Struthio camelus: one gene and its partners. The protein of the gene in region 3 interacts with the protein of the main gene of each other region in a pairwise test. Links are inferred from orthologs where the notes say so. Each region holds a gene or a part of one and is shown on either strand. Other genes may lie near its edges. The genes, in order: MBIP, L3MBTL3, PLEKHF2 and RABAC1.

Evidence for each region.
Region 1: the proteins of PLEKHF2 (region 3) and MBIP interact in binary tests that used the Homo sapiens proteins (3 or more experiments, as listed by UniProt). The two-hybrid records come from large-scale screens. The link is inferred for Struthio camelus from reciprocal best matches to the Homo sapiens genes PLEKHF2 and MBIP.
Region 2: the proteins of PLEKHF2 (region 3) and L3MBTL3 interact in binary tests that used the Homo sapiens proteins (3 or more experiments, as listed by UniProt). The two-hybrid records come from large-scale screens. The link is inferred for Struthio camelus from reciprocal best matches to the Homo sapiens genes PLEKHF2 and L3MBTL3.
Region 4: the proteins of PLEKHF2 (region 3) and RABAC1 interact in binary tests that used the Homo sapiens proteins (3 or more experiments, as listed by UniProt). The two-hybrid records come from large-scale screens. The link is inferred for Struthio camelus from reciprocal best matches to the Homo sapiens genes PLEKHF2 and RABAC1.

What each region holds. Positions count from the first base shown.
Region 1 is NC_090946.1:55,850,614-55,858,262, forward strand, and holds the start of MBIP (MAP3K12-binding inhibitory protein 1), read right to left. Parts: upstream 3,004-7,649; 5' UTR 2,957-3,003; coding exon 2,822-2,956; intron 496-2,821; exon of another isoform or gene 233-495; coding exon of another isoform or gene 209-232; intron 1-208. UniProt on the Homo sapiens protein: Inhibits the MAP3K12 activity to induce the activation of the JNK/SAPK pathway. Component of the ATAC complex, a complex with histone acetyltransferase activity on histones H3 and H4.
Region 2 is NC_090944.1:70,676,985-70,683,904, forward strand, and holds the start of L3MBTL3 (lethal(3)malignant brain tumor-like protein 3), read left to right. Parts: upstream 1-3,918; 5' UTR 3,919-4,029; coding exon 4,030-4,043; intron 4,044-5,652; coding exon 5,653-5,764; intron 5,765-6,920. UniProt on the Homo sapiens protein: Is a negative regulator of Notch target genes expression, required for RBPJ-mediated transcriptional repression. It recruits KDM1A to Notch-responsive elements and promotes KDM1A-mediated H3K4me demethylation.
Region 3 is NC_090943.1:148,700,390-148,707,246, forward strand, and holds the start of PLEKHF2 (pleckstrin homology domain-containing family F member 2), read right to left. Parts: upstream 3,006-6,857; 5' UTR 2,962-3,005; exon of another isoform or gene 2,877-2,961; intron 1-2,876. UniProt on the Homo sapiens protein: May play a role in early endosome fusion upstream of RAB5, hence regulating receptor trafficking and fluid-phase transport. Enhances cellular sensitivity to TNF-induced apoptosis.
Region 4 is NC_090980.1:287,230-294,473, reverse strand, and holds the start of RABAC1 (prenylated Rab acceptor protein 1), read right to left. Parts: upstream 3,013-7,244; 5' UTR 2,953-3,012; intron 2,178-2,952; 5' UTR 2,158-2,177; coding exon 2,081-2,157; intron 878-2,080; coding exon 680-877; intron 1-679. UniProt on the Homo sapiens protein: General Rab protein regulator required for vesicle formation from the Golgi complex. May control vesicle docking and fusion by mediating the action of Rab GTPases to the SNARE complexes.

The DNA of each region.
Region 1 (7,649 bases), on a different chromosome or scaffold from region 3:
TCAAAACATTAGAAACACACTATAAAACAACAACTGATTGAATCAATCTCTTTGTCTGGCTAGACATATATTTTAGACCATTTTCACACAAGCTATTTTCCTGTTCAGTACTTAATCTACACAGGATGTAGAAAAAGCAATGTTTTGAACACCTTACTAATTCAAGAGCGTATTAAGAATTTAGTAAGAACTAAGAATTAAACTTTACCTTAAGAATTAAATAACTGTGCATATGTGATCATCTGAAGGGCATTATCTGAAGCAAGTATTTCTTCCCAAAGTTTCTAGAGTAACATGTGCTGTATACTAAATTATAGTCCACAGAGATGGTAAAAAAGGTGTAGATGTAAGTCATCTTTAACGGAACAAAACAGGAGGTCTAATGCAATTCCTTAATGGTCCTCTTTTTTCAAAAAGCAATAGCCAACATGTGCCTTCATATTATAAGTTGTTGCTCCTATCAAGATGGTTCAATGTACGGAATCAGTTGAGCTTCTGGCTTAGAATAATTTAAAGACAAGTGATTAGGAATGTTACCAAATGCTATTCTAAATTCAGACAGTATTTTTACAAATAAGCAGAAAATAAAGCTATCCTGCATCTGAACATGCTTCTAGTACAATATAATTAGTTTTCTCACTGTGTCATGCTCTACCTATAAGAACTGTGACAAGTAGGCTTAGAAATTCTGCGATTTGGTAACTTCAATGTTTCTGTGTATTTATAGGCCAATAGTCTATTCTGCGGCAATTTACATGAACACAAGTCATTCTAGCCCTTTGTAACAGTTTTATGAAAGACAATGACTGTCACTCAGTGCTTAAAGAACTTTCCAGAGTTAAGTCACATTGCTTTTAAAAGTTATAATTCCCAGCTGCCCTCCTAGGCCCTCTGCCACAAGTTTGCTCTAATAAACAAATTCCTGTGCCAGAAATGTTCCTGTTTACAGTCCAACATATACGCCTAAGTCCAATTTAAGCTAGTATGATGTATGACAAACTGGATAGCCAGTGACCTGGCCCATTTTCACTTCACTCATCTCTATAATCGGGAAAGCAGGAATCAGTAGCTTCAGTCAAAGGTACAGGATGGATGACTAGAGTCAGTTAAATTGGTAAAAAACCACAAGTAAATCTATCGGAACTCAAGTGCTAGCAGACACAGAGTGTAACTGGACAACTGCAAATGATTGTGGTTGAGTAATTAAAAGGGTTAGTGCTTCCTCAGCTAAGCTGGAGCAACGAGCCCTAACTTACTTGTAGATTGTTTCAGTGCACAGTGAAATAAGCTTAAATTGTCATAGAACAAGGATACGCCAAATGCCAACGAGGGCAATTTTACTCTGCACCTTAACTACTGTAACTCAGCTCAGGGGATGTAGCCACTCAAATCTGAATCTTGCAATTGTCTGTCAACACCTAAATATTGTTTTATCACTAAGCTTTCCACAGTGACACACCAGACCTAGCACAGCTAAAGCAAACTAGGGAACAGGTAAGCGACTGAGAAAGAGACAGAAACTACAGGAAGAGACAGAAACTAGTGTGCTTAACATTGATTTAAAAACAGTTAATTGAACGTGTGATGAGCACCATAGATAACATCTTTATCTTTATTCCTCCCCATGCTTTTCATGAGAGTTTGACCTTTCAGTCACGTTAGCATTATAAAAACAATAACATAGAAGAATGACAATAATCCATCAGGGTAGAACGATGGTCATTAATTCTTCATTGATTAGATTTAGAATTCTTCACCATGAAGAATTATGGGATATTTCATCCATGTATCCCATACACGGATAGTTTTCCTGTCACAGTAGTTCTACGTATCTAATATTCAGCTGTGTATGATCGTTGTCTAACACAGCATTCACGTTCAAAAGCCAAGGCTGTGTTTATTCCCTTTACAGTTAAGAAAGCCGAGATCCTTATTAGTCAGAGCCCCAGTTTTCAAGCCCTTAATTTTGGATGCCTTTTGCTTGAGAACTAAGACGTTTCCTCAGCCACTTTGAGGTGAGGGGCAGATACAGCATACGCTTCTATTGCGAAAAGAGGTAAGATGCTCTAAAAAAAATAATTTCATATCAGTCAACAATTATTACCAAACTACCTCTATACCTGATTAGACTACATTTCTTACTATGTTGGTAAGCTAAAAACATACTAAGTTACCTTCTGTCCCTCACGTTTAAGCTACTGCTCATCAGTTGACCCCAAACCACCAAACTGTTGTCTAGTTTTAAAAGCATGAGTGTTTCTACTGCCTTGACAGAACTGCGTATGTGCCAGCACAATTGAGGAGGACTTAATTTGTAAACTAAAGCCCTCTCTTAACAAGGGCCTCTCACCACTAACGTAGCATCTATTCAATAACAATAATTTATCACCATCACTAAAGCTGGTGTTTCAACTGAACCACTAGAGTGCAAGGCCGCTTTTACAGTCCCAGCCCACAGACAGGCACTTCTTTTAATTTAATCTACAGTAACTTTTTTTTAGCAGCCTTTGAGCTCGCAGTCAGCGATTTTCAAGACAGAGCTGGCCGGCGGCAGGCCAGCCGTTCTGGCTCACGGCAGAAGCCATCCTTCCGATTAAAAAGCCCCGAGATGTGCTTCAGTGCCACGAGGCAATGAACAGCCCTGCGCGGCTCAGCCCCCGGCCGCGCACCACGTTGTTTACGGCAGGCCCCTCTCCTCTCCGGGCACGCACTTTAAAACTAACCGCGGGGGGAGCCACCTGCCCGGGGCCCCAATGCGGGGCGAGCAGGGCGCAGGCGGGGCCCGCGGCCGGCCCTGCCCCTGCCCCCGCCCCGCACTCACCTGCCCCGCCAGCGCGGCCAGGGAGCGCAGGGCGCTGCTCGCCACCTCCGAGGCTACCGGCTCGGCGCCGGGCTGGGCCGGGCTGGGCGCCGCCGCCACTGCCGCTGCCACTGCCGCTGCCTCCTCCTCCGCCATGACACGCGGCCAGGCCGTCGCTCCGCGATGACGAGCCCTCGGGCCGCCTGCCCGCCGGGCCCGCCCCCGCGGCCTGATGGGCAGGCGCCGCAGCCAATGGCGAGCGGCGCTGCCGGGCCGGCCGTGCGAGCGGGGAGCGCGGCGGCCCTGCGGGCGGGGCGGCGGCGGCGGCGGCGGGGCGTTGCCGCCGCCATGGCGGGCTGAGCGCGGTGGAGGCGGTTGTGGGAGCAGCGCCAGGGGGACGGGGCTCCCCGGGGGAGTCCTGAGCGCTGCCTCCCCGCGCTTCTGGGGGCTCCCGTGATAAAGTGTGTAGGAACTGGGTGGGCAGGGCCGCCTCTGGGCACTTACAGTGCGGCTCGGGCCCGGGAGAGTCAGGCCCAGGCCCTGGCTTGGCCCAGGCCAGGCGCTGACCATCCTCCTCTGGTGCCCCCCGGGCTGGAGTGTATGTGGGCTCTCGGGGTGTGGGGGGGGCGCGGAGCACCTTCTTTTGTGAAATCTGAGCTCTCCGGTATGGCAAGCAGTTCTGTTTCCCATGGCTGAGGGAACGTCATAGCTTTTACTCCCTTTGCTGACCTCCCTCGGACTCTGAAGCTTTTTGCAGCTCAGGCCCATTGCGGAAGACCACCTTGCTGCTTGCAAAGTCACAGTCTGGACCCGGTGACATAGGCTCACCTCTCTGCTGCTGCTTTGGCATTTTTGGTATAACCAGGCTTTGAACCCTGGACTGCAGTTGCTCCTGTGGTGTTTCCCTTCCCTGTGCCCCAGAAGGTGGGGATGACCTTACCCCCTCACCCTTTTGTTTGCCTTCTTGCCCAGTTTAAGGGACTCCATAGAGCTGTGAGCATTGGCCAAAGGCAGGCACATTTTTAGGAGTACCCTAACTGAGTGCTCTTTCATGGAGGGAGGTATACCATGTGTTTATTGAGAGTATATCAGATTAGTGTGCTTGTTTCAGCTGTGCTTTGCTGGATATACCTTCACTTTGGTACGCTTGTCTGTAGTTCCCTTCAAAGCCTTGACCCTTCTGGCTACAGCAAGGTTGTTTCTTCATCAGACCACAAGGAGCAAGTTTATCAGAGTACTCTGACTATGGGGCTTGCATGATTGTATCTCTTCTAAGACAGTCTGCTTGAGTTCTTTCCTAGAACAGTAGGTGCTGACAAAGGTTTTCTGTCTGGTATTTCCTTTGATACCCTACGTTTGATCCTCTAACTTCATTTCTCTTCCTATTTCCCTTCTCTCAGTAGTTTTCCTTTAGAATTAGTTGTTTCTCTTGGTCCTTTTCATCCTTTCTCTTCTCTTGAGGAAGGTCCTTCTAGGCTTATGGGCCAGTTCTGCTCCTTCGGTATAGGGAAGATCACATAGCTGTATACCATACGGCAGTCCTGACATTTTGCTTTCTTCCCTATCTTATGTCATGGCAGTTGCAGTAACTGCAAAATCCTGAGCAGAGACCATTCGTAAGCAATGCTGGAACGTTAAGGGCAAGAGGACATCTAAACAGACAAGATGGGCAGAGGATGCCCGCAGATCAAAAATATCAGAATGGGCGGATAGTTTGTGAAGTTGGCAAACAACAAAGTAATTCTACATTTTACTGCTATGTTGAGATATTGTAGGTATAAATTATGCTAAAGGCATGGTTGAAGAGGGAAGACTAAAACAGTAAACAGAAAGGATACTGAGAGAGAAGAGGTGAGGGAAAGAGAGAGGAAGGAAAGGGATGATGGTAGGAATGAAGGTAAGAGAACAACAACAAGAAGGATGTTGAGGAAGTTGCTAACTAGTCAAAGGAAACTGAGGACTGTAGAAAGTAGTCAGATGATATTACTCCTTTTGGGAATTCCTTGCTTGCTTCTACAGTTAGTTCACCTAGCTTACATGTCTGGCCCCTTACTATCTTTCTGCAATAGACAGAAACCAGATGTGTGTAGTTTCCCTTTCATATGGTGTTAAGCCTTCTGAGATGTTGAGAAAGTGCTGTGATCCATGGTTTTGTTTCATTTTGTGTCCCATTGTCCTCACCACCCTTTCTTTTTTCCAGGTGGTATTGCCATTCCAACTGGTACTTGTTTTCTAGCTGCTATTGTTAAACTAAACCTTTGGGAGGCTTTTGCATGATCATAAGCAAGTTCTGGAGCTTCAGGATTTGTCTTCACTGCTAAGACACCTGTTATTTACCACAGACTGACTGCTATGCACTTACTATCCCTGGTAAAAACACAATGGAAATCGTGCATTTAGAGCTTTACTGTTAGGTAAGTCCCAAGTGATCAGCTCAGCATGTAGTATAGTGCTGAAGCTGATATTTCTACTGGGAAAACATCATGCATGTACCTGAAGGCTAGTCTTCAGAGCTAAAATGACAGTTTCTTTACATCAGGGTACCTATAACATGAGGATATATTTTCTGTTCCACTGGGAAATGGTGTGTGTTGCCATATATACAAACGGTAAAGCAGACTGATATTCTTGAATAAAAATGTTAGCATGCAGATTAATTTATTTAAATTATATTTTGGTAGATATTTTAAAGGCATTCCTCTCTCAAGTATGAAGACTAAACTTAGGTTAATTTAGTGAAAATACTTCCCAGTAAACCTAGTGTTCTGTGTCTCCATGCAGCAACCAACTTAAATATTTGAAAAGACTTGAATACAGAAAGTCCTAGTCTGGAAGAGGAAAATTATTTCCAAAGAGGACTTCAGTGCTAAAGTTTTATAAATATATTACATGGAGAGCTACAATATCTTACCTAAAACAAGCTAGATTGCACTTTGCTGGATTTGGATGATAAGAAACACTCTTTGGGTTTTAAAATGCTTACTGCCAAATGCTTTCCTGATTTTTGAAGCTCAGAAATGTAGAGTTAATCTATATTTTCACTTATTTCCTGCAAAGATACTGCTCTTACGAAAAGACAACATCTTAAACACATATATAGGCCATGGCAATGAATGGCAAAAAAGATGGCAGAATATTATTTTGCACTTCTGTCCAACAACGCTAATTCCAGTTTATGGTCAAGGAGCAGCTGCTTGCGCCTGCCCTGCCTGTGACTCCTGCAGTGCTATCTCTGGACAGACAGCTGAACCAACTTTGCAGAATGTTGTCATTCTCACTTGATCCAAATCATGAAGCTTTCAAGACTGAAGGAAAATACAATCTCCCTTCCCCCGCCAAACACTGTAACACCCTGAATAAACATGGAAGTAATTTGCTGGCCAGAATAGAATGTGAAGCACTGATATAATACCCTGGTATTCATTGTTGCTCAGTGTCAGAGGATGCATTTTGCTCTTCCTGAATCTCAAATGACCTCCAAGGATAGATGAAGGCCAGACATCTGAAACAAGCTTTAAATTAAAGTGAAAAATGTTCAGCTACCTGATAAATTCCACTTCAGACAAATGTTGCTTTTCCTGGAATCATGGAGCAGGTGTGTGTCTAATTTTGCAGTTGTTAGGTGTAGCTTTACTAAGTGGGAGAGAGCTAAGATCTTTCCTTTGCTTGCAAGCATGTTATCTTTATCTCTACAAGAGCTCTGTGGGTACAAAAACAATTTCACATGTTGCTGAAAAATAAAGAGATAAGTACTGTCAGGAAGATACTGGTGGTGACACTGCCATATGTGTTACGTATGGAAATACAAGGGACAATGGACGTGAGAATGTGGAGGATATCAAGAGAAGGTGGAGGTGATCTTCTGTCACTTATTCAGTGATCATTGCTAGAAAAGTAGGCAAGAGACCATGAGGTCTGCAGGATGGTTAATGTCAGAGAGCTGATGGCAAATATTTCCTTTTAGAGAAAACTTAATAATTCCTATTGATATAGAAGGCACTGTTACCTCAGAGGGTCTTGATCCATTTTGCAGCTGCTGAATGAAGACATTTGGTATCAGCTGAAATTTGACAGATTAAATTATGTAACACCCTGTGCAAATATGAATGAGAACAGAGAAATAATCCAAAGGGATTTAAGAGATTAGAAACATCAGAACATGTGGGAAAATGAGAACAAATTAGGGGAAACACACACTGATACAGCTAAGACAAAGTCTGTTAAGCATTCCTATTTAATGGACGAGAGCGATCAGAATAGAAGAGTTCCAAAAGATGGTTATATGCTCACTGCACATAGTGCTCGGGGAAGCTGAGTACACTTGCAACCGCCTTGGCAGTAAAACTGGCCACAGTAAATCCAGGCCTTACATAAAGGCAGAGGAAATTACATGCCACGCTCGGTAAAGCTGGTGAAACAATAAAATATTGGAAGCTCTTGTTACTGGCAAGATACTGGTAATTTGGAGGGAATTTGTAGAAAATTGGCTTAGAAAATGGAATATTACATTACAAAATTAGAAAATGGATTGCTGGAGGTAGATACACTGGTTTAGAAAGAAGGATTGGAAGATTTAAATATATGCAACTTGGCAATAATGGCAGTTCTCACATTTTTAATGATGTGACTACTAAGGAAGGGAAGAATCTGGAATGGCTTTCAACATTTAGGGGTAGAATTATCATGATATGATTATATCTTCTGCACCTTTCATCCCTGAAATGGATCTCTAGGGCACATAAAAGGCTCCTCCCTTCCCCCAAAAGGGGAGGTTTCAAAAAACCTTGAAAAAGATAAACAGCAAAACACTTAAGTTCCTCCGCTGCACTCAAATCTAATTGTTTGAGAT
Region 2 (6,920 bases), on a different chromosome or scaffold from region 3:
TGTTACCCAGTTCCTAGCAGTGGTCCAGCAATACCAGTGTTAGCTTACCGGCAGAGACCAGATTCAGGTGAAAGCATCATAAGGCTTCTCAAGCACTAGTGCAGAATTACTGTTATCAAAGAACAGATTCCGTGTATGAGGAAAAAAACTTTAAGCTGATCTACTGGAAAGCAGGAACAGACGTATGCAGTGCCCCTGGAGAATCTAGCAGAGAAACGAGTAGCAACAGCTAAAATAAGAAGAAATAATATTAAAGGCATATCATCAGTAGGAAGTCTGGTTCGTTTACTGCTACACGTGTTAAGAATGGTGAAGAATTTTAAATTTAGGTCCTTTGTGACTACAATGCCAACCTATATATCTTATCTTTAAAATAACTATTTTGTAATAAACTTTGTGAGTAACAGGCAAAGTAGTGAAATTGACGTTGCTCAAACAGCTCTTGAGTGCACAGAATAGAAAAATGGCAAATCTGGTAAAATATTTTTTAAACTACAGTATGAATAATGAAATTTGAAAGGAAATGTGTGATCTGCAGATACTTCTTACGATAAAAATATATTATTAAATAGGTATAAAACAATGTGCATATTAAAATGTGGTGGATGGCCTCAAAGCATGTTACCAGTTTCTGCACTGTGGTTGTCTTCTTCAAGTAAAGAATCAGCTGCAAAAAGATTAAATGGAAGAGAGAGGCAAGTGTGCAGTATACTCAGCTCAAACCAGATGATTGTGGGAAGGAAAGCTGGACTCACCATGATAGCTTTACAGTGAATAGCAAGTAAGTCTTTTTCCTTGTACCGCCGTTCTGCACAACAGTTGGCTTAAGTTTTGCTTTGCCTTCAGTGTCATGATGAACCTAGCTTAATACAAAGTCTGTCTAAAACAGAAAAGGGAGCTTAGGTTGCGAAGGATAATTCTCCTTTGTGTGGCTTGGGGGTATAATGATTCAGCCCTGATATTTTTCACTTTATTCTGTGATAAAGGGAATAAAAATGAAAATGAGCATCCATCCGTCTACTGTCTAGAAGTTAGAGCACTCTATTTGCTGCTCTGATACACTGAATTGCCCCCATCTGATCCACTTCATTTTCCCTATGTGTTATAAATGTCCCACCTATCTGTAGATATCTGCAGATACTACACTAAGCAGTCTCCTTCTTGGACCTGACCAAAACAGCTATGAGCAACGTTAGGACAAAAAGCTGGGCTGGGGCCTACTCTTGTTCCTTTGTTTCTGAACATCTCTCAGCACTGGCATCTCCCAGCTCCATGGGTGTCTTTGAGGAACAGGGAACATCGCTAGGATGTCTGAGGACATCACCTCCCATATTTGATGCTCTCATTTCACACCTTGCACCGTTTGTTTAGACCACTTCTGGCTCTGTTTGTCCTATTTTTCTCTTTTCTAGCAAGAGTTGTTAGTTGGGGAAGGGAGCAGGCACAGGCTTGTTCTCTCCTGGAACGAATCTACTGGGCACTCCTGTCACGGTGGTTTCAGGAATCCTAAAAAATAAAATAAAAGTACACACGAATGCAAAAAGGAGTGCACATGCTTATTCACAGATGGATTCTGCTGATCCAGTAGTACTGTCTAAGGGCTTTACTTTTGAAATCTCCTCTCTTTGCTGTTGAGTGACCCCGTATTGAATTGGGCACGTTCTGGTGAGAAATTGTATGTACTACTACCTTGCACACGTCATAGATGGCATCTTAGATTTTCAAAACTTAGGTAGGTGTCAGGTAATTTTTTAAAGCCCTGACTGAAAGAAAAAATCCTTCTATTATTACTTTTTGACATACTTAGTACATAACCCTGTAATTATTTCAAAAAATACTTGTAGGTTTAGTTGGCATATTCTCTTCTATTTCTTAGCTTTAAGTCTTTAAATAGAGAATCTTCCACCAGATTAAATTATCTAATTTTTAATGCTGTTATTCTCGTTAAGTATCAGTTCTGTGAAGTATTCACTTATTGTTGAGCCAGTTGGTAAAAATGAATGGTTTTCTAAAGGATGCGTCTAATCTTCTTTCATAAGCTTGTTTATTTTAAGACATTTATTAAATATGTCTAAAACAAGGTTAATGTTGAAACATGAAAACGCAGCACACAGCTTTAAAACACTCCTCTATATATGTTACAGCTTATGGCTGGGAAGACTGAGATACAGTTATGTCCCTAATAGTGGATTTTGGATGAGGCTTTTGGAATATGAATGTTCCACGTTCTTATTTTGTGTCCTTACCTTCACATCAGATGGCATTCAGTGATAGGCATAGGTACAGTATTGTAGTAGTACTCCCCATATTAATTCAGTATTTTTACTACGTTCCTAGAGTTGTGTATGATAGCAAGAGGCGTTATTATAAAAGGAGTTCAGTTATACTAGTTCAGAGAACCACACCAGAGCTTTAAAGATGAAAGTGGAAATGAGTAGATAAGGCATTCCGTAGTTTTCTTTGTTCTGTGATTTAGATGTAGATACTGTAATGCTTTCATCCTTTTTTAATTCCTCATTGCTATAGTGATTTAATTGGTCTGCTTCTTCCTCCTCATTGTCCTTAGCAGTGGGATATAGACCTATCAACCTTGATCTTTCATCTGTTCAAACTCAGCAAAGCTGGAAACTGGTACTTTGTTAAATGTGGCAGCTTTGGGTAAATTCACTTCAATCTGTATTGCCCCATTACCTTTTCATCCCTACACAGAACAGTTTGGAAGGCTGCAAAGAGGACCAGTAGGTGAAAGTACAGATTGTGCCTTTAATATTGAGTTTAATTTTAGAAAAAAAACAAGAGTACCTTGTCAAACAACAGAATACACCATTGCTACTCATTATTACCCGATGAAAGCTTTCTTAGGTGCAATTAAGTTAAAATTTCTATGGTTTTCTTGAGAGAAATGTGCACGGTACGGTTCTATTATTAGTATTTTATTTTGACTTTCACAGTTTACATCCTGCGTAAGTAGTCTAGGCTGTAAGTTTCCCCCATCCCCCATCATTTTTTGGCAAGTGATTCTGTTACAAAATGTTTATATGATGAGAGAAGCTCTATCAGAAACTCCAGAATGTGATATAGCGGCTGTCTGCTGCTTCTCGCTCTGTGGGACAGCGACCACTGCAAGAAAGCGTTTCCCCACAGTCTTCAAAGTCTCTTCCCATTTTTTGGTCATTCTTTCTGCAGAGCAGAAGCCATTAGAACGTTTTCTGTAATAAATACACCACAGCATAGTTGAGTGCAGTGTTCTTTAAATGGGATGGTAATTTAAGATTACTTAGAAACTTTAGTTAATACAGAGTGAAGCTTTGTGTTTGCTTAGCCAGACTACTCATGAGGAACACATTACACCAGTGTGCTTAAACAGCATCTTTTATGTCCTTAAAATTTCATGGATTTCTGGGTAAATCCAATTTTTCAGCTAGTCCATAGCAGTTGAGGTAGGTCTTGTGTTTCTGAGAGGATGCCTACATCTCTGCCATGATGTTGCAGTTTAGTTCGGTGTAAGCCTGCTTAGGTTGGTATATTATAGTGCTGAAGACTGGATTCTTAGGACGGTCTAGAGCTCAAGTGTGCTACTTTCTTAAGTCAAATAGAGATTGTCCAGGTTGAATTTCAGGAGGTGCTATAAGCTGGAGTGATGCATTTTGCTTGGGAGGGATTTTAGACGGTGAGTTGTATGGGTTTGAGAGTTTTTCAATTTACCCTAAATTTATTTAGATTTATTGATATATTAAAAGTGAATTTTTGTACATTGGTGGTAGGGTTTTCAATATGTTCACACAGAGAAAAACTAAAATTAGAGATAGAAAAGAACTAAAATTAGAGATAGAAAAGACTCATTCAGTTTTGTTCTTCTTCAAATTTGTTTTGTGACGTCTATAAAGTTTTGTAAAAAAAAAAAAAAACTCCTGTAGGCACAGGTAGCTATTTTCTCCATCTCTGAACCCGACCTGTCATACAAAATGAAGAGGAATGCAGAAGCCTTCACCGTCAGCAGTGGTTACTGATTGAGGTCCTGCTTCTGTCATGTTGTTGACAAGGTATAGGGGCTGTATTGTAACAAAAGTACTAGTGGATTAAGGTGTTGCTCAGGGTGGTAAAAACTTTAGAATTCTGCTATAAATGAAGAAGAAATCATGCAGAAATATAAAGGAGTTCACACTGCAAACACAAAATGAGAGTAATGTCTATCTATAATGTTCAATTGATGGCTATAATTTTTCTACTGCAAAAATAGAAAGTTGAATATTTTTCACACAACAGTTAATAATTAAGTGTTTTCTCCTCAAACTTTAAGTCAGAAGCCTCTGGTAGATCTGAGTTTACTTCTGCTGGGGTTGCATCTTTTTCTATCATCTGCGAGTAATACAGTGAACGCATTTCACTTAATCTTTTTTGTGGAAATTCCAGATATTGAGAGAATATTAACAAATATTTGCAGAGAGTAGGTTTTGTGGGTAGAATTTTTAGAGATAAAAAATTAGATTTTAGAAACTGGGGTCAAACAGCTGGGGAAACTGCCTGCCTGTTTGAATTTCAAATACTGATACTTGCAGCCAAAGTTTGCAAGCGGTCTGCAGGCTGAGTATGAGGCTTGGAAAGTATTTGTTGAAAAAGTTCAAAAAGTGTAAATTTCAAAAGAAATAAGCTTTTGGTGAAATAAGCTTTTCAACTGTTAGGTGTAGCACAGCAGTCCTTAACAAGGAAAATAATTGAGTCAAACTTCATGTTGAATAAATACTAAATTAGGTGCCAGCCCACAAATTTAAAGATCTCTGGGTTTGTAAAAAGTAGAAAGGAAGAACTTAGCAATAGTCACAAATGGCTGCTAAAAACATTTACAGTTCAGCACAACTGATGTCGTATTTGTGATAGTGACAGGAGTTGTATAATTGTATTGCTTGTGCAAATGATTGGAGATAAATTCTTACAACAGAGAAGGAGGTCCAAGTCTACTATTTCTAATGGTAAACAAATATTTTCTGCTCTGCTTTCACTGCAGTGAAACAGAAGGATACAGTAAAATAAAGTCTTCCAAAACAGCTGTTTCTCTGGTGTGTATATGCTTGTCTATATGTAAATACATTTTAGAAATAAATAACGAATATTTGGTGAGCCTATATGGTGACAGACAAGGAGTATTTGTATGTTCTGAGTCAGACAATGAAAGTGAAGGACTTTCAAATTCAATTTGAAATTTTAATTTGGACTGGAATGAAGTATGTTACCAGATATTAAGGGAAACCAGTTATTTTAATCAGTTCTTACGATGTTTATTATAGGCATGTGTTTATGCCTTTCATTCCCTAGAATATGTTTTTCTTACATATTTCTAGGATGTGTTTGCCCAACGTCAATCTTTTTGCAGCTTGAAATTATTTATTTCTCTTCAGTTCAGCTCATTAATAAGTAGTGTATAAAGTAGATACTATTTTCTACGTTTTTCAAAGACTTGCTGTTGTTTTATTACATTAGTTTTTATTATCAGCATAGTTCTGTACATTGTAAGTGTGTTGAGGGATTTGATACTAGTCTATGCATTTCAAAGTGCATTTGAAGAAATGTCCAGTGATTTGAGCATTAAACTACTTTAATTTACAGGTAAAGCCTTTATATATATATATATATTTTTTTTTTTTTTCTTTTTAGTACATGCATCATGAATGAATCTGCCTCTAGTGGGAATGGACAAGAGTTTGATGTATTTAGTGCTATGGACTGGAAAGATGGGATAGGTACTTTGCCAGGAAGTGATCTAAAGGTAAGATACGTAACTTCTTAATAAGTGAAATAACAACTTTATATGCCAAAAGAATGTATTACAAGTTGGTGTGTAGGTATCTGCTTTTATGAATAAAACATGCAGCTCTGAGTTAAGAAACTGTAGCCTGTTAGCTTTTAGCTCTGGAGTTTCTTGATTCAGTTTCTGGTGCTGGCAAAGACAACAGTCATTCCCGTAGGAAGGCATAAACGAGCACTGCCTCACTATTAGGACAGAAGTAATCAAGTGCACAAAATCCAAGACGTCTCAGAAGTTAGTGTGTAAAATCAGTCCTCTTAAAGTATAATACTAACTAAAAATTTTTTACAGTCACTGACACTTAAGTCTCATGTTCATAGTACTTTTTTTTTTCTAAGAATAGTTTATTTTTCTGTACCTTTGTCATGTGGGTGTCTTAAAGCACCCACAGATATTAAAGTAATACATATATTGATGTTTTAAAATAAACTGTTTATTTATCTGATACTTTTTTACAGTGTCCTCAGAAGGTATTCAGCTGTTTTAAGTAAAAACGCAGCTTCGATATTGGAGACTTTCTTGCACTTATTTCTCGTTGGTTAAAGTCAATATTTTCGTATAATTCTATTTATATTAACACTGATAGACTCTTTTCATAGTTTAATTTTTAAATAAAATCTCACAAATTCTTTTAAAAAGAATTGTAGTTCTTAAGGAACTTTTATATACCTTAGTGCCTAATACAATTTATGTTGTTGAAGTGAAGAATCAAGAAATGTTTAAAATACAGGACAGATACATTGCAAGTGTCTTTTTTAGAGTCACAGAATCATAGAATAAAATCACAGAATAATTTTTTTTGGAAAGGACAGCAGGAGACCATCCAGTCTGGCCCTCACTTAGAACAGGGCCAATTTAGATCAAGTTGCTCAGAGCCAGGTCCTGTAAAGGTTTGGTTATCTCCAGCAATAGAGATTGCACAAACTCTCTGGGCAGCCTGTTCCAGAGTTTGACCAATCTCATAGTGAAATTCTTCTTTCTGTTGTTACTTAATTGGAATTTCCTCTTTTGCAACTTGAGTTGGTTGCCTCTTGTCCTTTTACATTGCACCTCCAAGAAGAACTGGCTCCATCCTCTTTATAACCTACCACTAGAGTAGTTAAAGGCAGCAGTAAGA
Region 3 (6,857 bases):
TCTATGAAAGTAGCAAAACATATATACACAGATATCAACAACCGTAAAAAAAAAAATCCACATGAGTTAAATGGAAAAATAATCTTGAATATTAACAGAGCTTGGAATAAGTCAAAAGCATGCCTTGCGAACTTAAAGTAGTACAGAATAAAGTTTAACTTCTTAATACAAAAAAAAAGAGAGAGCATTAAGTTAACTAACTTTCTTACCTACCAACATCTAACAAACTTATCCGCAGTTAACACTGGAGTTCCTTATTTGACATCACCCACTAACAAATGGCCTTTAAAAATAAAAACTTGCATACCGTTTGTTTGCTTGGCCAATACTTCTAACATTTTAGTTACCACTAATTTTTCAGAAAATGATATCTTCAGGCGTAAAAACAACTCTGCCTCATCGACACGCCATATCTCGACCCTAAGCTTTCATTTTAACATGTCTAGCCCCCTTTGGGGAAGATAAAGCACCACAAACGCTCCGAGTGTAACAAAAAACCGTTCATATCCTACCCTGCAGGCAACACCCTGCCTTATTGCACTCCCTCGGCTCTTCCTGGCAGGGTAAACTAGATGTGCCTGCCGCGCTCTGCGATATCCCGGCTCATTAAAAACTGCCCTTCCAGGCTGCTTTTACTGCTCTGACCAGACAAGAAGAAGCCTTCCTGCATCCATAAGCACAACGGCGAAACCAAGAAGTCGCAACGCCATCTGAACACAATAACCGTTCTACTGTAAACGCGTAAACTAATGGGCTTCAGGAGGTTAACGGTAGATCTTCTGTTAGTCCAGAGAAGTACGCAATACTAACTTACAATCTCTGTCCATAATTTAAGGAAAACAGAACGTAGCCCTTGCTAAAGAACGATTTCCTTCCTGGTTTTAATGAAAACTTGCTTCCAGACGAAAAGATATCGCTCTGCTTAATTGTAAAAGATAGGAAGCAGGAAAGTGATCCAGCTTCCCCAGTCCCAAATTTCTACTCACTAGTTTTCATCTAGCATTTAAGGGAATTCCTCTGTGTAGCTTTCTACACAGAACAAACCTCTTAATCACTCCAAACGCCACATGGTCTATTTACATTTAGAAGGAAGAATTTGGGAGTAATGCTTACAAGGCTTCACTTTCACTGCACTTTGGACACTTAGCTAGCATGCCATTTCGAACATAAGCTACACTGCCCTGAAACACCCTGGAAAGTATTATTAAGTAAGTTGAGCTGATATGCATGACCTTTAACTACATAAGGATTCTCACCTGATTAGTCAATAGTATTTAGACCACATAGTTCAAAAGCGAAAAAATTTGCATTCATTGCTAAAAACTTGATTCCTTTCTCACACTGATGTGCTCACATAAAACAAGCATCTGTAGGAGCTCAACACTGAGTAATTACACTGCAGTCTTTAAATACTTCCCTTCTTTCAGGTGACCATCCCTGAAAATAATTCAAAATCTACTATTCTTAGAATGTGAAAGCTGCGTATTTAAGTTTTTCCTTTACTTAGAGAAAGTAAGAGAAATTAGTAATCTCAGTTCCAAATTTGATTCCAGTTTTGTGGGTTTGATCTCAGAGTCGGTTTAGGTTTAGACAAGGTTAATAGAGTAGGCAAAGCGATAGGCACATGAGAGCCTGAAACATAGCGTTTGTCCAAAAAGCATTAACCCCCAGAGTAATCACCCGGCACGCGGCACAGACTGAGTCAGAGGTTAATGCTGCCTCCGGCACCGCTCTCAGCCACGCGATCGAAACAGAAGCAAAGGAAGTCTTAATATGTGGTTAAGCGATATAACAGGTAGTTTTAGGGTATCGCAAACTATTGCACTGGTGCTTAACGTCAAAACTTAAGCCAAAGCCATTTTTTGTTAATCAGGACAAATCAGACGCCAGGATGCACTCTCCGTAGACCAATTCACTGGGTTTTTTTGCTTGTTTCTTTGGGGTTCCCCCCCCCACCATGAAGAACAGTTCATTCACTAGCTACTTATAAACCCGGGGTTTTCTGCACGCAGCGCAGGCAAAAGGGAAAACCTGCGGCCAAGATGCCTTAGCTCGAACCGCTCTCGGACAACTTAGGCGCCCCAGGTATTTTAAGCAGACCAGTCGCGTTCCTCTCCAAGAGAGGCAAATTTAACAGCGAAGTAGCAAGTTTCCCGCTGACAGATGCGCCCTCCACGCTTTCACCTGTTTGTCTGTTTTGTTTTTTTAAAGCCACAGCATCCAGAAGGTTTCGGCAGGGCAGCCGCTCTGCTCGCCTGGAAAACGACGAGTAGCTGAAAGTTACCAGGACGCCCGCGCCGCCGCCGCCGCCGCCGCCCTCGCTACCGCGCTCGGCGAGGGCCGCTGCAGCTCGCGCAGGCGGCTCCGCGCACCGCCCGCACACAGCCGCTCCCGCCGGGCGCCCCGGCCCCGCCGCCCGTCACGGCTCCAGGAGCCCCGCGCACTTATGTAACGCCTCGGGGCGGCCGCGGCTCGGGCTGCGCTTCTCCCCCCCCCCGCGCCCCTTGTAAAGACGAACTCGCTTCGGCAACTCTGTCGGCACCTCGGGGGGAAAAAAACAAGCGCCGGCCGCCGCTGCCCTGCCCCACAGCCAGCCCGGCGCGCCGCCGCCGCCCCGCTCCGCCGCGGGCTGCCCGCGCCCTCCCCGCCGCGCCCGGCCGGCACCCCAGCGCCGCCAGCCCGGGCCGAGGCCGCCCACGGGGCTCGGCGGAGCCCGCCGCCGCCGCCGCCGGGGCCGCTCCTTCCCCCGCCAGGCAGCCCCCGGCTCCCAACATGGCCGCGCAAGGGCGGCCGGAGCCCCGGCCGGCAGCGAAGGGGCTCCGCCAGGAAAGTTTTCCTCTCGCTCCCCGCCCGGCCCCGGCCGCCGCGCTCCTCACCCCGCGCCGCCCGGCGCTCGCAGCTCCCTCCGCTCCAGTCGCTGCCGCCTCCCGCCCTCTGCCCACCGCAGCCGCGGTCACACACCCGTCACCGCCACCGCCGCCGCCGCGGAGGGGGGGGGTCGGGCACCGCCCGCGCGGGGCGGGGCCGCCGCCATCTTGGGAGGGGCGAGGCCCAGCGGGAAGGGTCGGGGTGGCGCCTCCGTCCGCTCCGCGCCGCCGCCTCGGCCCCGGCTCCGGCCTGTCCGCGCCGCCTCCTGCTTCCCGGCTTTGGCTCGGGGTTGCTGCGAGCTTCGCAGGGAAGTGACAGCGGAGCGCGGTCGTCGCGGCGTTAACGCGGCGCTGCCTGCTCTCGCCCCGCTGCAGCGGGCGGGACTGCCCTGTGGCAAACGGCCCGAAGCTGTTTTAAGAAAAAGTTTCGCTTAACGTGAAATACAGCAGAGTTTCGTTTTCCACATCTCCCGTTCAGCTGATTTACTGGGCAGTACAGCGGCTGGCTTTTCTGGGGGGGGGGGGGACAAATCCGCTTAGGCAGTGTGGCTTTCCAGGGGTAATAATGAGCCCACTAAAGTTGCTGAGTTTGATTCAGATTCGTAAGGCAGGGTTGTTTGCCTTGATGAAGGTGCAGAGTTAAAAGTGAGCTTGTGGCATTTTTGGCAGTGGCGTTTTTTTAAACGTGACGTCAGGAGGAATTCATATCGCAGCTGGCATGGTCGCGCGGAAAAGGGGGGCCGTGGGGAGCCGTGGGGAGCCCCCGGCCTGGCGCGCTCTGGGGGAGGGCGGCGGGGCGCAGCGCAGCGCCGAGGGGGCCGCGCGTGTGTCCTCCCGCCCGGCACCGGGAGAGCCCGCTGCGCTGGAGCTGCCCATGCCCAGCACACAGCAGTGCCCCCGCTCCTACGGCTGCTTCTCCTCCCAAACCCGCAAGGCCCAGCCCAAGCTGAGCGCTGCCCTAAAGGATTTAACAAATCACGGGAACCGAAGAGCTGTGCTCGGTTTGGGTTGTCACGGTTGTAGCTTCGGGAACAACTGCTTCTGCAGGGAGGTGTGACGAATGGCCGGGACAGATGAGAAGGGCCACTGACACGCATTCGCGCCACAGGGGTCATTCAGATGCAGTCCCAGCTCAGAGAGTGAATTCCCAAGCACGCAGCGGTAAGGAACCCAAATCGCTAATGCGAGTACCAAACCTGACCCCCTTCCATGGATTCCTGATGAAGAATCAACAAACCGTGTCAAGGAGAAAGGCCCCCTGCTGTAGGAGAGCAAATCTCCCACTGAGACAAGAGACCCAGAAGAGCCGCTAGGAGTCTGGGTAGAAAGGAAGTAACAGCTAGGAAACCAAGTGTGCGTGAAAAACTTCTTTTTTATTAATGCTTTTTTTTCCCCTTCTCTCTCCAAACAAATCGTATTGCGGTTGCTTTTCAAACTCTGGTAGAGGGCTGTGTAGTCTGTCCATGACAATTTTCTTTTCTCTAACTTTCCTGCAAATTATGAGACTGCTCTTTTCAGCTCCTACCATTTCCTCACTCCTTTTTGAGTTCTCTTCCAGCTTGCTGAAGTCAAAAACTAGAACTAAATATAAACAGATAAAAAGTTGACAATGCTCAAAACAGACCACTCTGTTCTTCACACTTAACCTAAATGGGTCGTGTCTGAAGTCCGTTTAACTTAGTGCCCTGTCCCCAAGAGTGACCACTGGTGTAGGCTTAGGAAGAAAATACAAAAATAGAACAATTAAATATTTATTTCATGAACTGAGCTTCCAATAGTCTTTTTTTTTTTTTTTTTTGGACAGGTGGGCTTACTGTGCTAGAGGTTGCAATCAAAACTCTATTTGATAGTCACCAAATTTATCCAATTCCTTTTTTTCACCTCCATAACATCATGTGTCATTTGATTTTGTAAAAATTCATTAAAACATAAATTATTATACTGATATTATGTAGTATAATATATAAGCATATTATTATGTTTATAGCATATATAAGTAACCTTTACTAAGTTTTTGCTGCTTTCTATTTCTATGCATTCTGTAGGAGCCAGCACACCTATAGTTCATATTCTTCTGAAACATTATTATGCCTGTTTGCTAACCTTTAATCAATTACTTCTTGGCAAGTCCACTGAAGCCAACTAACCTAGCTAACTAGAGCCAAATTTGAAGTATGGAAATTTACTGTTAATGATTTTTGAAAACCTTGATTCTCTGAGTAGGTTCAGGTCAATGTGTGCGTTAACTTCAGCAGGGACCAGGTGGGGTTAGAGTTTTATTCTCAACATAAGAAAAAAAATGAAATGAAGAAAAAACGCCAAACTTGTTTTCTGATAGATTGCTTCTCTGACATTGTAAACAGAAAGGGATCGCTGTGTTTTAACACAGTATGAATTTCTGACTAGTTTTATTCACCATCTTTGTATTCAAAATGTCTTTAGAACTTGAAGGCAATTTCCAATCAGCCAACAGAAAGCTGAAAAATTCTGTCATCTATGTTATGAGTTTTAGTTTGATGAGAATTCGTCATAATGAGGAAGCCACACATATTGTACATCAAAGGTAATGAAAGAATTTGGCAAAGAGGTAGCCAGAAGGGGCAAGGCCTTTCCCCAAAAATTATGTTTATAACAAAAATTAATACAGACATAGAACAACCTTTCATTCATTTGGCACTTATCCCATTTTAGTTGCAGAAACTCGATTCTCTTGCAAACAGCATTCTTGTCCTCAGTTTTCTACACAGCCAAACTGCCAGCTGACACCCTGAGAAGAAAGGACTCAGAAGCCAAACCAGAAATACCTCTTTGTTTACTACAGAGCAGTGTCTTTTACTGTCCCTGCAAACATTTGTGTTATTTTTAACTTCAGCTCTCACTAAATAATCTGTAATGCCCAATTCTAAACTTCCACTCTTGAACGGAAAAGATGCCCTTCCATCCTTTATTAGAAATTAATCAAAGATATTTTTTAAAAAACATCAGTAGGTCCTAAGTTTTGCAATTTTTGGTTTCCAAGGGTTAGAAAGGCATAGCATTTTTGCAGTTCAGAGCATATTTATGTTACTAAAAGTGTAGACCATAGGATCTGTAAGAACGCAGATCCTGTTAATTTGTCGTGAACCCGGCTTTGTAAAGTGTTCTAGAAAACACTGAAGGAATCAAGTTCCATGTATATATTTCTGAACAAACCATAAGCTGAAATTTGGATTTCCATCCTTAAACTGTCCTATTCTGAGCTATGGCTTAAGAGGAGGAACACCTTTTTGTGTTCACTTTCAACAGCAATGAGCAATAACTCAATTAAGAAAATATGGACGGACAAACCTTTAGGGTGCTTTTACATCTCCTGGCATTAGAAGCCCTTTAGGGTGCTTTTACATCTCCTGGCATTAGAAGCAGGCAAACAGAAGTTATGCTATATTTGAACCCTTCGGGTTTCTTTAAGCAATGATAATAGCATCTGACTGTGGATTGGCAGGAAAACGGTTTCAGACTTCCATTCCTCCAGGAACAGTTTGCATTTAAGCTCTCCAACAGACTGAGGCCTAGATCCAGATCTCAAAGGCACATAAACACCTAATTCCCAGTCTCAGAAGCAGACACCAGAGCTTAGTGCTCTCCTCTTGGAGGGGACAAATACAACGTGAGGGCTGTAGCCTCATGGTCCCTCTCACCTCTTTCCAAATGAATTGTGAATCCTTTGCTGTACAATGGAACAACGCCAGCGGGAAAAGCTGAGCCACACAGAGCTGCCTCTTTACATCCCCAGGAGATGGAGGTTGACGGGAAGCTCTCCTGTGGGTTTGAGGGTGCCACGAGCTAAGAAGGTAGTCAGGGCAGGACCTCTCTGCTTCCCCAAGATGCCCGCAAAGGACCGCAGCCATAGCCTATGAAAAGCCAGTTATGCTGGCACGTCCTGGGCTTGCTGAGCGACTCTCAAGAGGCCTATGTAGGACACTACGTTTCTCGAGCCTACTGGACGGAGCA
Region 4 (7,244 bases), on a different chromosome or scaffold from region 3:
AACCCCCATATCCTGTCCCCCCTGCCCCACAACTGCCCCCAATACCCTCAGCACTGACCCCTCATCCTGCCCCAAAGCAGCCCCACAGTCCCTTGTTCCGAACCCCCCAATCCTGCCCCATAGCAGCCTCCAGCCTTAACTCCCCATCCTGCCCCACAGCAGCCCCACAATCCCACCCCATGACCCTATATCCTGCCCCACAGCAGCCCCACAATCCCACCCCCATGAACCCCCCCATCCTGCCCCACAATCCCACCCCATGACCCCCCCCATCCTGCCCCACAATCCCACCCCATGACCCCCGCTGTCCTGCCCCACAATCCCACCCATGACCCCTGCTGTCCTGCCCCACAATCCCATCCCATGACCCCTGCTGTCCTGCCCCACAATCCCACCCCATGACCCCCCCATCCTGCCCCACAATCCCACCCATGACCCCTGCTGTCCTGCCCCACAATCCCACCCATGACCCCTGCTGTCCTGCCCCACAATCCCACCCCATGACCCCCTGTCCTGCCCCACAGTCTCACCCCATGACCCCCGCTGTCCTGCCCCACAATCCCACCCCATGACCCCCCCATCCTGCCCCACAATCCCACCCATGACCCCCGCGTCCTGCCCCACAATCCCACCCCATGACCCCCCCGTCCTGCCCCACAGCAGCCCGCCCCGGGCTCACAGGCAGTAGAGGATGAGGCCGAGGAAGACGCAGAGGTAGTTGCTCTGGAAGCGCTCGCCGTTGTGGGCCAGGCGCTGGCAGAGCTCCCCGAAGGTGCGCGGGGCCCCGAAGCGCCGCTGGTCCAGGAAGGCGCCCCACGGCCGCAGCCCCGCGCGCCGCCCCTCCAGCCACCGCCGGGCCGCCGCCGGCAGCGCCAGCCTGCGGCCGGGACGCCGCGCTGCCCCACGGCCCCTGCCCCACGGGGGCACCCCCCCTGCCCCACGGCACCCTCCGCCCCACGGGGGCACCCCCCGCCCCACGGCATCCTCCGCCCCACGGGGCCACGGCCCACGGCACCCCCTGCCCCACAGCACCCTCCGCCCCACGGGGGCACAGCCCACGGCACCCCCTGCCCCACGGGGCCACGGCCCACGGCACCCCCTGCCCCATGGCACCCTCCGCCCCATGGGGGCACCCCCCGCCCCACGGCACCCTCCGCCCCACGGGGGCACCCCCCGACCCACGGCATCCTCCGCCCCACGGGGCCACGGCCCACGGCACCCCCTGCCCCACAGCACCCTCCGCCCCACGGGGGCACAGCCCACGGCACCCCCTGCCCCACGGGGCCACGGCCCACGGCACCCCCTGCCCCACGGCACCCTCCGCCCCACGGGGGCACAGCCCACGGCACCCCCTGCCCCATGGCACCCTCTGCCCCATGGCACCCCCTGCCCCACGGCACCCTCCGCCCCACGGGGGCACAGCCCACGACACCCCCTGCCCCAGAGGGCCACGGCCCACGGCACCCCCTGCCCCACGGCACCCTCCGCCCCACGGCACCCTCCACCCCACGGGCCACGGGCCACGGCACCCCCTGCCCCACGGCACCCTCCGCCCCATGGGGCCACGGCGCACCGTACCCCCTGCCCCACAGCACCCTCCACCCCACGGGCCACGGGCCACGGCACCCCCTGCCCCACGGCACCCTCCGCCCCATGGGGCCACGGCCCACGGCACCCCCTGCCCCATGGCACCCTCCACCCCATGGGGGCACAGCCCACGGCACCCCCTGCCCCACGGCACCCTCTGCCCCATGGCACCCCCTGCCCCACGGCACCCTCCGCCCCACGGGGGCACAGCCCACGGCACCCCCTGCCCCACGGGGCCACGGCCCACGGCACCCCCTGCCCCACGGCACCCTCCGCCCCACGGGGGCACAGCCCATGGCACCCCCTGCCCCACGGCACCCTCTGCCCCACGGCACCCCCTGCCCCACGGCACCCTCCGCCCCATGGGGCCACGGCCCACCGTACCCCCTGCCCCACGGCACCCACAGCCCCATGGCGGCCACAGCCCCACCGAGGCCCTGACCCATGGCACCCTGTGCCCCCCAGCACCGCCCCCCCCCACCCCAATGCTCACTTGGTGCCCAGCCCGGCCAGGGGGTCACCCTCCGTCGTGGGGTTGAAGAGATGCTCCTGGGGGGGGCTCCCCGCCATGGTGCTGGCGGGGGGGGGGGCTGGAAGAAATGGGGGGTTATGGGGGGGTGGCAGCCCCCCCATGTCGGGGGGTGGATGTCCCATTGCAGACATGAGGGGGCTAATTTGGGGCAGGGGCTTGGGGGGGGGCTCAGGCCTTGTCTCTATGGGGCTGCAGGGCTGTTTTGGGGGGGGGGCACTCAGGCCTTGTCTCTATGGGGCTGTTTGGGGGGGGCGCTCAGGCCTTGTCTCTATGGGGCTGCAGAGCTGTTTGGGGGGGGGGGGGCTCAGGCCTTGTCTCTATGGGGCTGCAGGGCTGTTTGGGGGGGGGGCTCAGGCCTTGACTCTATGGGGCTGTTGGGGGGGGGCGCTCAGGCCTTGTCTCTATGGGGTTGCAGGGCTGTTTGGGGGGGGGGGCTCAGGCCTTGACTCTATGGGGCTGTTTGGGGGGGGGCGCTCAGGCCTTGTCTCTATGGGGCTGCAGGGCTGTTTGGGGGGGGGGGCTCAGGCCTTGACTCTATGGGGCTGTTTGGGGGGGGGCGCTCAGGCCTTGTCTCTATGGGGCTGCAGGGCTGTTTGGGGGGGGGGGCTCAGGCCTTGACTCTATGGGGCTGTTTGGGGGGGGGGGCTCAGGCCTTGTCTCTATGGGGCTGCAGGGAGGTTTTGGCGGGGGGGTTGCGGGTTATGGGGCCTGCGGCCGGATCACTGGGGGGGCGGGAACCGGGACAGACCCCCCCCCCCCACCGGGGCTCCCCCGTTGCCATGGCGCCCCCCTCAGTGCTCGCCGTCGCCATGGCGACCCGCCCCCGCCCTCACCTGCTCGCGGCGCGGGGCGGAAGCGCGGTGCCGCGTGGCAGCGCGGGGGGGCGCCGCGGCGCGGGCGGACGTCGTGGGGGGGGGGGACGCAAGGGATGCCGGGAGAGCGGCGCCCCGCGCGGGGCACTCTGGGAGATGTAGTTTATTCCCCCTCCTCCCAGTTGCGGGGGGGGGCACGGTGCAAGGCGGGGGTGTTTGGGGGATGGGGGTGTTTTAGGGGAGGGAGGTGTGGCCTCCCCATCCCCCCGCGATCCAGGCAGTTGTGGAGGGTCCCCAGAGACCATGGGGGACCCCCCCAGGATAACTGGATGCCCCAGAGCCACCAGGATCCCTCCCAGGACCTCCCCATAGACACCCCCAGGATCATTGAGGACCCCGGGAACCCCCCCCCATGGATCCCACAGGACACTTGGGGACCCCAGGGACACCTCAAGGTTACCCCCCCATACCATGAGGGACCCCAAGGAGTCTCCAGAGCCACCAAGACCCCTTGGGACCCTCCCCCAGAGGCCCCTCGAGCACCACTGGGGACCTCAGGGACCCTCTAGGGCCACCCCAGGGTTCCTGCAGGTCCCTTGAGGACTCAAGGACACCCCAGAATCATCGGGGACCCCCCCAGGAACTCCCAGGGCCATTGGGGACCCATCAGGGACACCCCAGAGACCCCTGGGACCACTGAGGACCTCGTGGACCTCCAGGTGCCTGCCAGGATCACTGAGGACCCCAGGACCTCCCCTGAGGCACCAGGGACCCTCTAACCCCCATGGAGACCCCCCCCCGGGGCTACTGAGGACCTCAAGGACACCCTAGACCCACCAGGGACCCCCCCCAGGGACTCTCCAGGACCATGGAGGACCCCAGGGACTGCTCAAAGCCACCCTCAGGACCACAAGTGACCCCTGGGACACCCCAGAGGCATGGGGGACACCCCAGAGAAACCCCAGGACCATAGGAGACCTCAAGGATACCCTCAAGAGACATTGGGGATCCCCTCAAGAGATCTTTCCACAGGATCTTTGGGTCCCCAGGAGCACCCCAGAGCCACTGAGGACCTCCAGCGACAAGTCTGTCCTCCCACGGTGCCTGTTTGTCCATCTGTCCTCCCCCAGCACCTGATGGACTGTCTGTCCATCCGTGGGACCCTGGGCACAGCCCGGCCCCACCTTCTGCCCAGCTATCCCTGGTTGTCTGTCCATGCATGTCCATCCTCCCCTCCCTCCATCCACCCCTCTATCCGCTCGTCCATCCATCCGGCTGCCCCTCCACCCCTCCCTCTACCCCTCCATCCCTCCGTCTCTCCATCCACTCCTGCATCCATCCATCCCTCTGTCTCTCCATCCATCCACCCTTCCCTCTTCCTCCTTCAACCCCTCCATCCCTCCTTCCATCTCTCCATCCATCCCTCCACCTCTCCATCTCTCCACCCGCCTACACCTCTCTCTCTCCTGTCTCTCCACTCATCCTTCCCTCCATCCCTCCAAGACTCCCTCCCTCTCTCCAGACCCCCCATCCCTTCTGAGCCCCCCAGGTCTCTCCTCCCTCATCCAGCCCCCCCAGTCTTGCCACCCAGTTCCTCCCCCCCAAATTCCCCCCGGCTGCCCCCCACTCTGAGTCCCTCAGCCCTCTTGGTCCTGCCCCCCCAGCTCTGCCCCCCTGCTCTGCCCTGATGGCCCCCAGGTCCCCCTGCTCCTGCCCCCCCAAGTCACCCCACTTCTGCCCCCCAACTCTGCCCTGGTGCCCCTTGGGTCCCCCTGCTCCTGCCCCCCAGCTCTGCCTTGAGACCCCCCCATGTCCCCCCACTCCTGTCCCCCAGCTCTGCCCCAGTGCCCCTTGGGTCCCCCTGCTCCTGCCCCCCAGCTCTGCCTTGAGACCCCCCTATCCCCCGCTCCTGCCCCCCATGTCCCCCCACTTCTGCCCCCCAGCTCTGCCCCGATGCCCCCTGCTCCTGTCCCTCGGATCCCTCCGCTCTGCCTCGAGACCCCCCCCATATCCCCCTGCTCCTGCTCCCCCCAAGTCACCCCCCTCCTGCCCCCCAGCTCTGCCTTGAGACCCCCCCATGTCCCCCCACTCCTGCCCCCCAGCTCTGCCCCAGTGCCCCTTGGGTCTCCCTGCTCCTGCCCCCCAGCTCTGCCTTGAGACCCCCCTATCCCCCGCTCCTGCCCCCCATGTCCCCCCACTTCTGCCCCCCAGCTCTGCCCCGATGCCCCCTGCTCCTGTCCCTCGGATCCCTCCGCTCTTCCTCGAGACCCCCCCCATATCCCCCTGCTCCTGCTCCCCCCAAGTCACCCCCTCCTGCCCCCCCAGCTCTGCCCTGGTGCCCCCCAGATCCCCCCGCTCCTGCCCCCTAGCTCTGCCCCGGTGCCCCCCCCCGTCCATCCTCCCCCCCGGCGGCAGCGGGCGGAAACGGCCCCTGAGTGGCGGCGGCGGCGGCGGCGGGGAGGGGGGCGCGGGGGCGGCGGGGGGGGCGCGGGGGCGGCGGCGACAGCCCCTCTCCATCTTCCCATTAGCGCTAATGGGCAGGTCCCGCTCCCCGCCGCCCCCCCGTTAATCACCGCCGCCTGATGAAGATTTATCGGCTGCCGCCCGCAGCGCCGGGGCTGCGCCGGGCTATGGGGCGGGGGGGACAATGGGGGGCACTGGGGGCCATGGGGCAGGGGAGGCGCGGGGAGGGGGTCTGTGGGGGGCATTAGGGTCTATGGGGCATGGGAAGCATGAGGCAGGGGGCTATGAGACACATTGGGGGCTATGGGGTGGGGAGGCGTGGGGGGCATTGGGGGCTGTGGGGGGCATTAAGGGCTATGGGGCATGGGAAGCATGAGGCAGGGGGGCTGTGGGGGGCATTGGGAGCTATGGGGTGGGGAGGCATGGGGGAATTACGGGCTATGGGGGGCATTAGGAGCTATGGGGCAGGGCAGGCATGCAGCAGGGTTATGGGGGTGGAGGGGTGGAGGTTATGGGGTAGAGACAGCTATGGGGGGCAGAGGGGGACATGAGGGGAAGGGGCTATGGGCCTAGGGGAGCATGGGGCAGAGAGGGCTGGGGGGCAGGGAGGGCTATGGGGCAGAGGGGTTGAAAGCTATGGGGCGGGGGGGCATAGGGCAGGGGAGGATTTCAGGGCAATGGGGCAGAGAGGGCCATGGGGCAGAGTGGATGGGAGCTGTGGGGCATGGGGGACAGAGACAAGGCTGGGGGCTACGGGGCAGGGGGGGCATTGGGGGCAGAGGAGGGATATGGGGCCTATAGAGCAGAAGGGGATGGGGGGCTATAGGGCAGAGAGCAGGCTGCATTGGGGCAGACAGGGGGGCAGAGTGGGGGTGCTCGGGGTTTGGGAACATTTGGGGGTATTTGTGACCGGGGGTGGGGGGGTTGCAGTGACCTCACTTATGGGGCGTGCCCCCCTCCCCGGCGTCGGAGGGAGAACCTAGGCGTCCGGGGGGGGGGGGGGGGCCTGCTTCGCCCCACAGGCCCCACCGCCCGCGTGGGCCCAGGCGTCCGGCCGCCCCGCTGCAGTGCGCCCCGCTCCCACACGAGGGCAGCTCTGTCCCGAGCAGGGCCCGGCTCCGAGCTCGGGGCCACCCGCGGCCGTCAGTAGGGACACGGGGCAACGGGGCAGCCCCAGCCCGCCCGCCCGAAACCAACCTCAACCCAGAGCCAGGAGCACCCCAAGGCCCCCCCCCCCATAACCAGCCCTGACCCTGAGCCAGATGCACCTCTAAAGCCCCCCAAGAGCACCCTAAGGACCCCTAGGAGCACCCCAAGCCCCCCCATACCCAGCTCTGAGCCAGAAGCACCCCAAAGCCCCCTCAGCATCACCTCAAGGCCCCCCAGGAGCACCTCAAAGCCCCCCAGGAGCACCCCAGGGACCCCCAGGAGCATTCCAAGCATCCCCCCATACCTATCTCTGAGCCAGAAGCACCTCAAAGCCCCCCAGGAGCACCCCAGGGACCCTCAGGAGCATCCCAAGCATCCTCCCATACCTATCTCTGAGCCAGAAGCACCTCAAAGCCCCCCAGGAGCACCCTAAAGACCCCCAGGAGCACCCCAAGCACCCCCCCCATACCCAGCTCTGAGCCAGAAGCACCCCAAAGCCCCCCCAGCATTACCCCAAAGCCCCCCAGGAGCACCCCAGGGACCCTCAGGAGCACCCCAAGCACACCCCCATACCCAGCTCTGAGCCAGAAGCACCCCGAAGCCCCCCCAGAATCACCTCAAGGCTCCCCAAAGAGCATCCCAAAGCCCCCCAGGAGCACCCTAAAGCCCCCCCCAGCATCCCAGGACCCCCAGGAGCACTC